3 linked regions of the Cricetulus griseus genome follow. The protein of the gene in region 3 binds, or shares a complex with, the protein of the main gene of each other region. Links are inferred from orthologs where the notes say so. Each region holds a gene or a part of one and is shown on either strand. Other genes may lie near its edges. The genes, in order: Arpc2, Arpc5 and Arpc3.

Evidence for each region.
Region 1: Arpc3 (region 3) and Arpc2 share a complex: the UniProt entries of both Homo sapiens proteins name them as parts of the arp2/3 complex. The link is inferred for Cricetulus griseus from reciprocal best matches to the Homo sapiens genes ARPC3 and ARPC2.
Region 2: Arpc3 (region 3) and Arpc5 share a complex: the UniProt entries of both Homo sapiens proteins name them as parts of the arp2/3 complex. The link is inferred for Cricetulus griseus from reciprocal best matches to the Homo sapiens genes ARPC3 and ARPC5.

Annotation. Positions count from the first base shown.
Region 1 is NC_048595.1:427,484,839-427,488,559, reverse strand, and holds part of Arpc2 (actin-related protein 2/3 complex subunit 2), read right to left. Parts: intron 2,200-3,721; coding exon 2,165-2,199; intron 520-2,164; coding exon 407-519; intron 1-406. UniProt on the Homo sapiens protein: Actin-binding component of the Arp2/3 complex, a multiprotein complex that mediates actin polymerization upon stimulation by nucleation-promoting factor (NPF).
Region 2 is NC_048598.1:38,870,569-38,874,502, forward strand, and holds the start of Arpc5 (actin-related protein 2/3 complex subunit 5), read right to left. Parts: upstream 2,801-3,934; 5' UTR 2,643-2,800; coding exon 2,500-2,642; intron 590-2,499; coding exon 517-589; intron 1-516. UniProt on the Homo sapiens protein: Component of the Arp2/3 complex, a multiprotein complex that mediates actin polymerization upon stimulation by nucleation-promoting factor (NPF).
Region 3 is NC_048597.1:102,222,357-102,226,653, reverse strand, and holds the start of Arpc3 (actin-related protein 2/3 complex subunit 3), read right to left. Parts: upstream 3,013-4,297; 5' UTR 2,774-3,012; coding exon 2,768-2,773; intron 1-2,767. UniProt on the Homo sapiens protein: Component of the Arp2/3 complex, a multiprotein complex that mediates actin polymerization upon stimulation by nucleation-promoting factor (NPF).

The sequences.
Region 1 (3,721 bases), on a different chromosome or scaffold from region 3:
AATAATTTGGAAAGAATAAAATCCTGAGTTGGGTGTGGTGGTACATATCTGTAATCCTAGCTCTTTGAAGGTAGAGGCAGAAGGATCAGGAATTTGAGGACTTCTTCAAACACATGAGAAGTTTAAGGCCAGCCTGGGCTACATGAGATCCTTTTTATAAAAAAGCTTTAAAAATTTCCTTAGGGAACATCATTATTTCTCCAAGTTTAAAAGCAAACAAGCAGAGTGCCAAAATCTTCTTTGGAAAATATTTTTCACATCCTTGTGGGAAACGGAGTCCTTCCTCAGTTAGCTGTGTAAAGTCCCCTCCGTCTGTAAGAGTAGTTTGGCCCATTCTCTGGGCAGCAAGGGGCCAACAGAAGGTGAAGGGAAAATAAGAGTCCCAAGGAAACCAATGTGGGCTTACCTCATCAGCACCATGTGCCTGAAGTTCCTTGTAGAATTTCAAAGAAATACTGACCATCACTTTTGTTTTGTCTCCATTAGGATTTGAAATATGGTAAAGGACACCATCAAAATCTGTGAAAAAGCAAGTAAGGTTGCTTACTCTAGAAACGGGAGCAATCTCCTAGCACCCACCAGAGGGCTGGCTACGAGACCTCTGATAAGAGAGCATGTAAGTAAATGATGCTCGTTTGATTTCACTGGGGAGCCAACAGAAAAGCTGCTGAGGAATTAACTGCTCAGTGGCCATATCTTTGGTCTTACTTAAAATTACAAAGCTATTTTTACTGCATCCACAGTTTGTACTAAAATAACCTTACAAAAACTTTCATTGTGACACATTTTCAGGAGAAAGAGCTATAAACAAACTGATATCCACCCATGCAGCATGAATACTGATCAGCACACGGCCCTTTTGTCAGAACGTATTTGCCCCCACCCCAATTCACTACAAAGCAAACTCCAGATGCAACATTTGATCAATATATACTTCAGGATGTATCTTTGGGAGATATACCTGGTAAGCTATTCAACTATTACCTATTGTCTCAAAAAAATTATAAACATTCTTGTCTTAAATATTCTAACTAGGATCTAAACAAGATCAACACAACATAGATGATTATCTTGTAAGTCTGTTTTAATCTCTTGGCCTATCCTCTTTTTAGGTTCTCTCTTCCTGTCCTACAAAGTGAGATGAGCTCATCTGTATCACTGCAAAAGCTAGGCACGGAGGTCCAGATCACAGAGAACTTGCACAGGAACCACAAGAACCATGAGGACTTGGTACTGCTAGTGACTAGGAGGCACAGATGGTAACCACCTTAGGGCCTTAGGCGGCAAGTCTTCTGAGATGATCTAGTCAAGCACTTGTCTTTCTAGATGGCACTTAGCTGTAAAATCTCCAGGGTCACATATGAATAGCCAATTCTTTTTTTTATTTTATTACTTATTAGTTCAAATTAGGAACAAGCTTGTGTCACATGTCAATCCCTTCTCCTTTTCCCTCCCCTTCCCCCAACCTCCCACCAGCCCCCTCCCCCCTTTCTTTTTTTTTTTTTTTTTTTAAACAGGGTTCACTATGTAGTTCTGGTCAGCCTGGAACTTTCTACCTGCCTGGGTGCTGGCTGGGATTTAAGACTTGTGCCACCATGCCTGGACAAAAGGGAATGGAAGAAACACTACTGCTTTGATTTGACAAACAAGCTCCAGCACCTTCTTACCTTGCCTCTCCCAAATGCTAGGCAAACTTATATGATAGCTACAAGATTATAATTCTGTAGACTTCCAAAGTAAAAAGAAGGTTCTTTGTATAAAACAAACCCCAAATTTCTAAGATATGGAGTGCCCCATCCACTAAGATATGTAAAGTACATAGTTTACCTAACCCCAAAGTCAGTTAGCAATGTTGTAACAAGAAACAGTCCTCGAAAGACTCAAAAACTTGACAATCAAAACTTTTCTTTTCAGGAATGTAAAGCTGCCTCAAGTGTTCAAGAGAACTGACTGGCTATTCTTTCAAAGGACCAGTTTCAATCCCCAGCAGCTGCTTGGCAGTTCATAATATTCTGCAACTCTAGTTCCAGAGCTGATGCCTTCTTCTGGCCTCCTTGGGCATCAGGTACACACATGGAGCACAGATGCAGGCAAAACACCAATACATCAATTTTTTCTTTTCTATTATACCCTCTCTTAAAAAGAGATGAGATAAGACACTTACCTGCAAATGTTACTTCTACAGCTTCTGGTTTGTTTCTGTAAAACAACAAAAAGGCCCTTAGTAAGGTAATTTTAGGATAGGATAGCTTAGTGGATGGGGACACTTGCCAGCTAGGCCTCATGACCTCGGACCTGAGGTGGATCTGTAGGATCCCTAGGGTGAAGGCAGAGAGCTGCCTCTTCCGTGTTGTCTTCTAGCCTCCAAATACAAGCTGGACATGTACATCCACACATATACACAAATAAAGAGATCAAATGTAAGTGGGGGAAATAATTTTACTGTTGCTGTCTTTTAGGGGGACTTGAAAAGGCTCCTGATTTTTACTGGGAATTGAACTCAGGACCTTTGGAAGAGCAGTCAGTGACCTTAATTGCTGACCCATCTCTCCAGCACCGATTTTTACTTAAGACTGAAGCATTCTATATAAATTCAAGGCTTAAAGATAAGAGAATACACATTCATTCTCTCATGGGCCTGAATCTTTAGACTTGCTTAAGGTGGAGGATTAGACAAAGGACACCTACAGCTTGTGTTTTCCAACTGTTATTCAACTGCTTGCCACAGCTAGTGCTCATTCTGATCAATGCCTCCTCCCATAGGATAGTGCCTATGGAAGTAACATACACAAATATGGCTAAGTGTAATAATATAGAATGGTTCTACTGTGTTTAAGGTGAAAGGATTATTTGAAGTCATACCATACCAAAGAACATTCTTAAGCCTTTCTATGCAATTTTCCTTGTAGTTTTTGTTTGTTTGATTTTTTTGTTTTTCGAGACAGGGTTTCTCTGTGGTGCAACAAACAGTCCTGGCTATCCTGCAACTCACTTTGCAAACCAGGCTGGCCTCCAACTCCCAGAGATCCACCTGCCTCTGTCTGCCTCCCAAGTGCTGGGATTAAAGGCGTGTTCCACCACCGCCTAGCTCCTTCCTTGCATCATCAAAGTACCTGCCACACTCCATCAAGCCTGCTTTGGTTCTACCTTACTTTTGTTCTAACTCAGGTCTTACACAGAAGCATGGCACAAAATTAAAAAAAAAAAAATCAAGTACAGTCAAAGCATCTGCTTTCCAATTTTATCTTTCTTACTAGGCTTATGCTCAGGGACAAATAAGAATTCTTATATCCTTTTTCTTATCTCATTTATAAAATGAGAGAATACAAAAGATCTCACTGATCTTGCAGAACTTGAGCTACTTCACAAACAGGCCTTGAGCTACTTCATATTTTAGTCAACTAAATTAAACCCCAGTGAAAAGTCATAGTCTATCTTTCTCTTCAACACCGACAGAAAACTCTACTGTATTAACAACTTGCTAGCAGTTAATTCAAATGATGCTAGTTTGTTTCACATTTAGCAAACAAGATATCCATACTTTACATTTTGCTCCCTTACTCAAGATCTCTTTTATTATGTATACAACATTCTGCAAACCAATAGAGGGCACCAGATCTCATAACGGATGGTTGTGAGCCACCATGTGGTTGCTGGGAATTGAACTCAGGACCTCTGGAAGAGCAGCCAGCGCTCTTAACCTCTGAGCCATCTCTCCAGC
Region 2 (3,934 bases), on a different chromosome or scaffold from region 3:
TAAGTTCTTGCACATTGTTATACAGTTGAATTATAAGACTTTTTTTTTTTTAAAGAATATAAACCCTTGTAGAAACTCTTTAAGCATGCAGCAATACCAAAGGCAGTAACTGACCCAAGGAAGGAGCATGGTGATCATCTTTTTATGCTTATGATCATATCTTTGTCTTCCATAATATTTAATATTAACATAATTAACAGAACTGATTTCTCCATCCTTTAAATTGACTGTGTTCTACACCACATTATCCCAACTCTACATTTCACTGCTATTTTTTGTAAGATGTTTTTACTTATCAAGAATTTCCTTTTAAACTGGATGTGGTGGCATATGCCTTTAATCCAAGTGGAGGCAGGAGATCTCTGGGAGTTAGTTCTAGGCCAGGTTATACATCTAGACCCAATCTCAAAAGAAAAAAACAATAAACAAAAAATTCACATAGTAAAGTCTTGTGTCAAGGATTTCGGTAAGAACAGTGAGACATGGAAGAGACTAATGCTGTAGCCAGCAACTCACCTTCACTGCCTGACTCTTTGTGTTGATAGGGGGGTTCTTCAGAGCCGCCTGGAGTGCAGCTGTCATGTTTCCTGTAATGACGGTTAAGGGGATAACAACAAAGGACAGCCCCTGCTTTACAGCACTACTGGTTCTTAAGACTTGACTTTCTATAGTAACAAAAATTACTATGGACGTTATGTTCAATATTAGAAACTGCATCCGTTTATTTCCAATATGTCAATCAAAGGTTAAAATCAATTAAGAGAATATAGGAATTATTTTTAAAGCAAAGATACCTTGACCTTGGTCCCATCAAAGAGATTACACTTTCTAGTGAAATACACACAATTGTCTAGATAGGTAGTCAAGAAACCTTATAATTTGCATCAGAATTATTAGGTTACCAGTGGAAGCAGCCTACAAACCAATACCAGCAAACAAAGTATACCATCTTATTTGTGTCTAATTCTTATTGGAAAACAACCCTAAACCTTATATTGAAACTACACTGTATATTACCGAAATGCTGGCTGACTACTCTGGCAATAGGAACGGAACAGGCAATAGCTTAATATTGATGAGCAGGGCTACGGAAGCTGTAATAATCCACATAACCTGTAGGTGGCAGCCTACTTTTTTTTTTTTTTTCCTACAGGTTATTCGAAACTGGGCTGGACCATTCATACCTATTCAATCAGGCTCTGAAAGCACTAGTGAGTTAGCAAGCATGGGAAACGGAAAACCAATCAGACAGTCAGAATAGGCAGTCATTTCCCTAAAAGGAAAACCACAGAGTCACTTGTTCCTCCGTCTGTATGTAGTACAGGGCTGTATCTCCTAGTTATAACGAGAAACTGTATCTTTATATTTTAAGATGGGTTGAGGAAAAAGTAGACTCAACTGATAATGGACACAGAAATAGGAGTCGCCAGAAATTTCCTAAAATACATTATTTTAATAAAATATCACATACCCATCATAAAGATTTTTTTCAAAGAGTAATGCTCACCACTTCTACAGAAAAGGTCTAATAAAAATTACCTACAGTTGGTGATAAACTACTCTCAAGGGTGCATGGTTTTCTAAAGAACACCTTTTTAAAGAAAAAAAAAGCCCAAGTATTTAAATAAGTAATCAAGTTAGTAGCAACTGATGTGAAAGTGAAACCTATATGTATGTTCAATGTTGTAGTTATCACTATTTTTGTTCACTTATTTATTGCTTCATTATAATCCAGTAGAAAATTGACGAGGAAAGAGCTGTATGAACAGACTTAACGAGAGCGATTTTTCTAAAGCTACAATTTGCAACATTTCTATTTTCCTAAGAGATCGATGCAAATGAATTTCAGGGTTATGAATATTCAGATATGCAAACCTAAGGAATCAGGAACTGACAGCCATATATTAATTCGAATGGAAACAATTTCAGAAAAACGATTTTGGTTTCTAGAACCGACTCATCCTCTGTTTTTTATTCACTGGGATTTATCTTAAGGATTTTCAGGGATTCACCACATGCATTCCCTATCTTTTTCCTATTGGCTTTTTTCTTAGCAGTTAAAGGCTCCACGCTTTAAAGGGGAATTTTGGAGAAGAAAACTCCCTTCGCCCTGTGCGAATGAATTATGTGCCAAATCCTTTTCTCTTAACAGTGATGATGATGATGATGAAAAAGCCCATGGGCTGAATGTACCAGGGGCCTCAATACCGGGCTAGGAATTAACTATCTCACCGTTCTGCAAACCACACGCCCGACAGAAAAGCGGACTCCAAGCGGGACGCCCGAGTCCCCACCAGGCATCAATTTCTGGAGCTCAGGTGCCCACTAGGGCGCCGGCCGGTCCCCCGCGAGGGCGCGGCCGCTGGGGCGGCGCACCTGAGGAATCCGGGCGCCCGCAAGTTCGCGAGCACGGCCCCGGGAGCTCCTGCCCTCCATCCCCACCCAGTGCCACGCGTCCGCCCGGCCCCCGACCCCCGATCTCCGCGAGAACAAGGATATTGCCGCAGACAAGAGTCCACCTCGCCCTCGTCGGGCCCGGCCTGGCCATCGCCGCCGTCCTCCTCGTCCACGAACTTATTCTCATCATATTCGTCCACGTCCACCTTCCGGAAGCGGGCCGACGACACCGTGTTCTTCGACATCCCGGATCGCGACGCGACGCTGGCCTTCCCTCCGCGGTGCCTCTTGCCTTTCGCGAGCCCAGCCCGGCGCGGCTCACTTCCCTCTTCCGCTCTGGGGCGTCGCCGGTAGCCGCTGCTTGCTCGCTTCTGGGCCTGCGCGCTAGCCGGGCGCCGCTTCCTCCTCAGCGCCGAGCTGCTCTCCTTCAGCCCCCGCCCCGCCCCCGCGTCCCCGGGTCCCCGGGGTAGCGCGCGTCCGCCAGGGAGCGCGCGGGAAGCACCGCGCACGCGCAGGCCCGCTGCAGGGAAGGGGCGGGGCCGATGAAGGAGGCGGGGGCGGCGGGCGGACAGAAAGCGGCGGGGAGACGCGATTGGCCGCCGGGAACGTCACGTGACACCCGGGAGGTTCCCATAGAAACGCTTTTCTGCGGTCCAGCCTTGCGGGGGGTCTTGGGTTGGAGGCTATGGGCACCTGGGGCGCGTGGCCTGGTCTGCTGCTGCCGCCGCCACCGCCGCCGCTGCTGTCGGTGCCAGAGGCTTGTTGTTGGGGTCCGGTGTGAGGTCTGGGTGACCGGACTCGGGCGTGGGGTGGCATGGACTGGCTGCAGGACCTAGTCCCCTGCAGTCAGCAGGAGTATGAGGCGGAGTGATGCTCCGCTGGGCGCCCAGCACACAACTAGTGATCGAAGCCCTCCCTTCGGACCGAGCGCCGCCAGGGGCTGCGTTCCTGAGCTGAGAGCCCCTTCCCGGGTTTGGGATCCCGCCGCTCTGTCGGCGGGAGATCCCCAAGGACGGAGTCGAGAGGTCACTTCTTACCTGTCAGCGCTGTGTGACAGACAGCATCGCTGCCGGACCTGCAGAATCTAAACTCGGTATTCTCTCCATCCGGAGGGAGGGAAATTCGCCTGGGCCGGAGCTGGGGATGGGTGGCGAAATTGGGGCAAACTTGTAGCATTTTGTAGAATCCGTCATCACATCTTAAAAATAAGTAGTTATTTGGAGCAAGAATGCCAGAAGAGGGTGGGCGAGTTAGGCTCTTCAGTGCTGAGGGAAAACAACATGTGCAAGGATCAATAGGAACTGGACTTTCAAGGTGGATATTTATGGTTTAAGGTTCCTGGGAGCCTGCCTGTGAGTTGTTATAGCCTACATCCCCGTTTGTGAGATCAGAGCTCTTACTGAGGGAGAGGCACTAAGATTGAAGAAATAATAGCTGTGCTCTGTGTATTATACTGTAGTATAAGCATTCATAGAATAAAATTAATTCCGGCGCTTGGCTGTGCCTGCTTGGATGCAGGCTTACCTGGTTTCACAAA
Region 3 (4,297 bases):
GATGAACAACTTCACATGCTGGTTCCTGGTTTTGCTTTTTATGTCTGCTGTGAACAAAACCATTCATTCATCAAATGATAGCTAAGCAACTTTTTTTGTGCAAGATAAAATGAGTGACAATGTAACTTTTTTTTAAGATGAAAGAATATTCTAATGGCTGGGCAGTGGTGGCGAACACCATTAATGCAGTCACTCAGAAGGCAGAGGCAGATGTATCTCTGTAAGTTCCGAGGCCAGACTGGTCTACAGAGTGAGTGCCAGGACAGGCTCCAAAAAAAAGCTACACAGAGAAACCCTGTCTCAAAACAAAACCAGAAACAAACAAATGTATTAATTATGTATATGTATTGTGTCTATGTATGGGGATTTCTATGTGTATACAGTGCCCAGAGTGTTTCAGAAGTGGTTGTTGGGTTCCCTGGACCTGGCTGTTGTGAGCTGATGGATATGGATGCTGGGAACAAAATTCTAGTGCTCTATTAAGAGCAGTGTGAGAATAGGGCTTTTCTGATGTCAATGGTAGCTAGCCCTTCAAGAGCCAATCTGCCCCACCTAGTAAATCTTTTATGTACATTTAAAACTTTTAAATTTATTTCTATTTTTTTGTATGCCTGTATGCCAGAAGAGGGTATTAGATCCCATTATAGATGGTTGTGAGCCACCATGTGGTTGCTGGGAATTGAACTCAGAATCTCTGGAAGAGCAGCCAGTGCTCTTAATCCCTAAGCCATCTCTCCACACATTTTCTTTTTCTTTCTTTTGGTTTTTTGAGACAGGGTTTCTCAGTGGAGCTTTGTAGACCAGGTTGGTCTCGAACTCACAGAGATCTGCCTGTGACTAAAGGCATTCATCACTACCGCCCAGCACCTCCACATATCTTTTAATCTCCCCACCTGGTACCACTTCTGTTATCCAAAGGCATTGCTACATTGCTAGAACCTGGTGGCCCAAGGGGCTGACCCTTTCCCGTACCCTTCATTTCCTACGTGAAGACTCTTTTAAAACTAGATAGTCATGAAAGACACAGTCACTACTTGAGTGAGAATAAAAACTATGTGAACTACCCACCCCATCCCATTGTGCTTGCTAACTCTGTTTGTGTCCAGGTCATGGTACATCTTTTGGGTTTTTTTTGGAAAAAAATTGCTGTTAAGTTGCTTTTGCTTTGTTTATGTGTTTCTTTGTGTGACACCAAGTATATGTGCTTCTAACAGCAGCAAGCACTCATAACTGCCGAGCCATCTCTCTAGGCCCTGACATGAGATCTCATATATCACACAAATATCACATATATAGGCACACATGTGATATTTCATGCTAACAGAGAAAGCAGACATAAAATAAATTATCATAGGTTAAGTCCAGAACTTTCTGTGTCCAACTGGAATGAGCACAGAGCTTTCCTTTCTGGCTTAAACTCTGGCTTCACTTCTTGTGAGAAACACTGCACAAGTCACATTAATTCTCTGAGCCCTAGTTCCTTCAGCAAAACCATCACAATAAGGACATCTACTTCATAGTGTCATCCTGGGAATGAAGGTCTCATCTGGACAGTAACCCTGGGTCTCCACATACACTCAGCAACTCTAAGACTCATCAAGACTCATAAACCTTACAAAGCTGAACTTGGTGATGCAGGCCTGTGATCCTAGCTACTTGGGAAGCTGAGGCAGGAGCATCACAAGTTCAAGGCCAGCCTGGGCAACTTTATGAGACCCTTCCTCAAAATAGGGTAAAAAGGAGGAGGGGATATAGCTCAGTGGTAGAGGATCTATATAGCCTGCCATGAGTTTCTGGGTTCAATTCCCAGCACTGCTAAAACACATACACAGAGCTGAAACTTACACTTGCTCTCCTTTTTGACCCAAGTACACCGTATCTACACCAGCCTGGTGCCCTCTCTGTCATGGGGTACTGTGTTGGTTTTCTTCTTTGCACATGTCCATACATCACTCATGCATGTTTGTGTGTAGTGTATAAGTGTTCATGTGTGCATGCAGGTGTATGTGTACATCTACACATGGAAGCCAGGTCTCTTCCACAACTGCTTTTTCCACTTTAGTTTTGGGACAAGGAGCCTCAGGGATCTCTAACCCTTCCCAGCTCTGAAATTGCAGACGAGTTCCTTCCCCTGACGGTTTAATTGTAAGCTCCTTGAGCAGGCCTTGGTAGCTGCTGTTAACAGTGCTGGTTTCCTAGTGAGAGTTCAGGGATGCTTGTCCAATGTGGATTTATTCACGCATCCCTTTACTAATCTGCAAAACAGAACCCATGATGGAGACCGGCAGTCAAATGTCAAGACACATCGCCCATCACCAATTTTTCCTCCCACTCGAAAGCACACGAAAAAGAAAACTCCTAGAAACCAGCGCTGTCTCGATCGTGGTCTGGAGCTACAGCAGGGAGAACGAGGTAGGGATCGGTCAGGGAAGCGAAGCCCGACAGGTGTTTAGCAGCAGGCTGACCCACTCCATGGGGCGGAGGAGGAAGTGGAAGTGACAACGGGGAGAGAAAAGGGGAAGCTGGACCCTAGATTTAAAAATAAGTTAAAAGCCGTCGTTCTTAACTTCGAGGCTCTCGGGTGGGATCTGGGAACACTGCAGGACTAGGAAGAAAGCAGCCCTGCGAGAAAAGGACTGGAGCAAAGGGCTGGGGCTGGAGAGCAGGGCAGCTGTTTTCTCTCTCCCCGGACTTCTACCGCGGCCTCCCGCCTCTCTTCTGGCCCTTGCCCCGCTCGCCTCTCCACCCTCGGGGCTCGAAGCCTTACCGGCATTTTGGAGGTGTCCGGATTCGATCCAGAGAAGCAGGACCCAGGTAAAGCGGAACGCTTCCGGCCAGCGAACCTGGGTGGAGTGGGCGGAAGTGAGCCGGAAGAGGCGGGCGAAGCGAAGAGATGCACTTCCGGTTTAGCTTCCGCCTCCCGGTTGCTGCGACCGCTCTGACCGGAAAGGACGCCAGGGATGTGCGAGCAATAGGCTGAGTGTGTAGCGCATTCATAAAACGCGCGCACGCAGCTTTACAATTAAAGAGTCCTTCAGAGGTTAATAATCACCTCCCGCTTTTTTTTTTTTAAATTCCCTGGCCTGTTTCAAATCCGGTACCACTCAGCTCCCTGATTTATCCTCCTCCACTGTCAAGTTTTTATTTTTACCGCAGCCCACGTGGGGAGTCGAAGTTGGTGCTCACCTTCCACCATGGGGACTCTGGGCACCGATCTCAGGTCTCCGGGTACCTTTGCACTTGAGTCATCTCGGCGGCCCTTATTTTTCTTTTCTTTTTTAAGATTTTATTATTATAGTCTTCTGCCTGCATGCCAGCAGAGGGCGCCAGATCTCATTCAAGGTGGTTGTGAATCACCATGTGGTTGCTGGGAATTGAACTCAGGACCTCTGGAAGAACAGTCAGTGCTCTTAACTGCTGAGCCATCTCTCCAGTCCCTATTTTTATTTTCTTGTGGAAGATTCTTACAATGTCCAGGCTGGTCTCAAACTGGATACATGTGTCTTGAATTTATGAGCCATCCTCTTGAATACTTTTATGCTGGCATCACAGGTGTGGTCCCCATCACTCCTGGTTGCTCAGTTTTATGATGTCTACTTGTGGTGTTTCATCTCCCTGTCTTCCTTGTCACATTGAGACAGTCAGGGACCACCATGGGAGTAAAGTGCAACACCACTGCCCATCCATGTAACACTTGCCTTTAATCCCAGCACTTGGGAAACAGAAGCAGGGGATCTCCGAGTTCGATGCTAGCCTGGTCTACAGAGTGAGTTCCAGGATAGTCAGGACTACACAGAGAAACACTCTCAAAATACAAAAAAAGGGAGGACCTATTTCTTTCCAACACATACATTCATAAATACATATCTCAAAACACAGTTTTAATTTTTAATTGTATAAATAATGTTTGATTTGGGAAAATAAGATTCATGTATATATACCCTTCCAATATTTTTTCATTTGGAGATATGTTTTGTTACAATAATTGTACCTCTTCAAAAACAAACAAATCAATCAAAAGAAAATCCCTCAAAAAACAAAAATCCAACTGTAAATAAAATTAAAATTAGACTCAAGTGCACTGGAGTGTGCACACATACATACACACACACACACACACACACAAGAACAAGAGATGTGTAGGGCAGGTTGATTTATATTATATAAAGTCTCTGCATAAATTGTTACTTCAATTTTTTTAAATCCAAAATGATGCTGTCAGAATAAAATCTCTTCTTGAAAGAGTAGTGGTTTCAGAGCTCAGAGCACAATCCAGGCTCACTCCAGGGAGAGACCA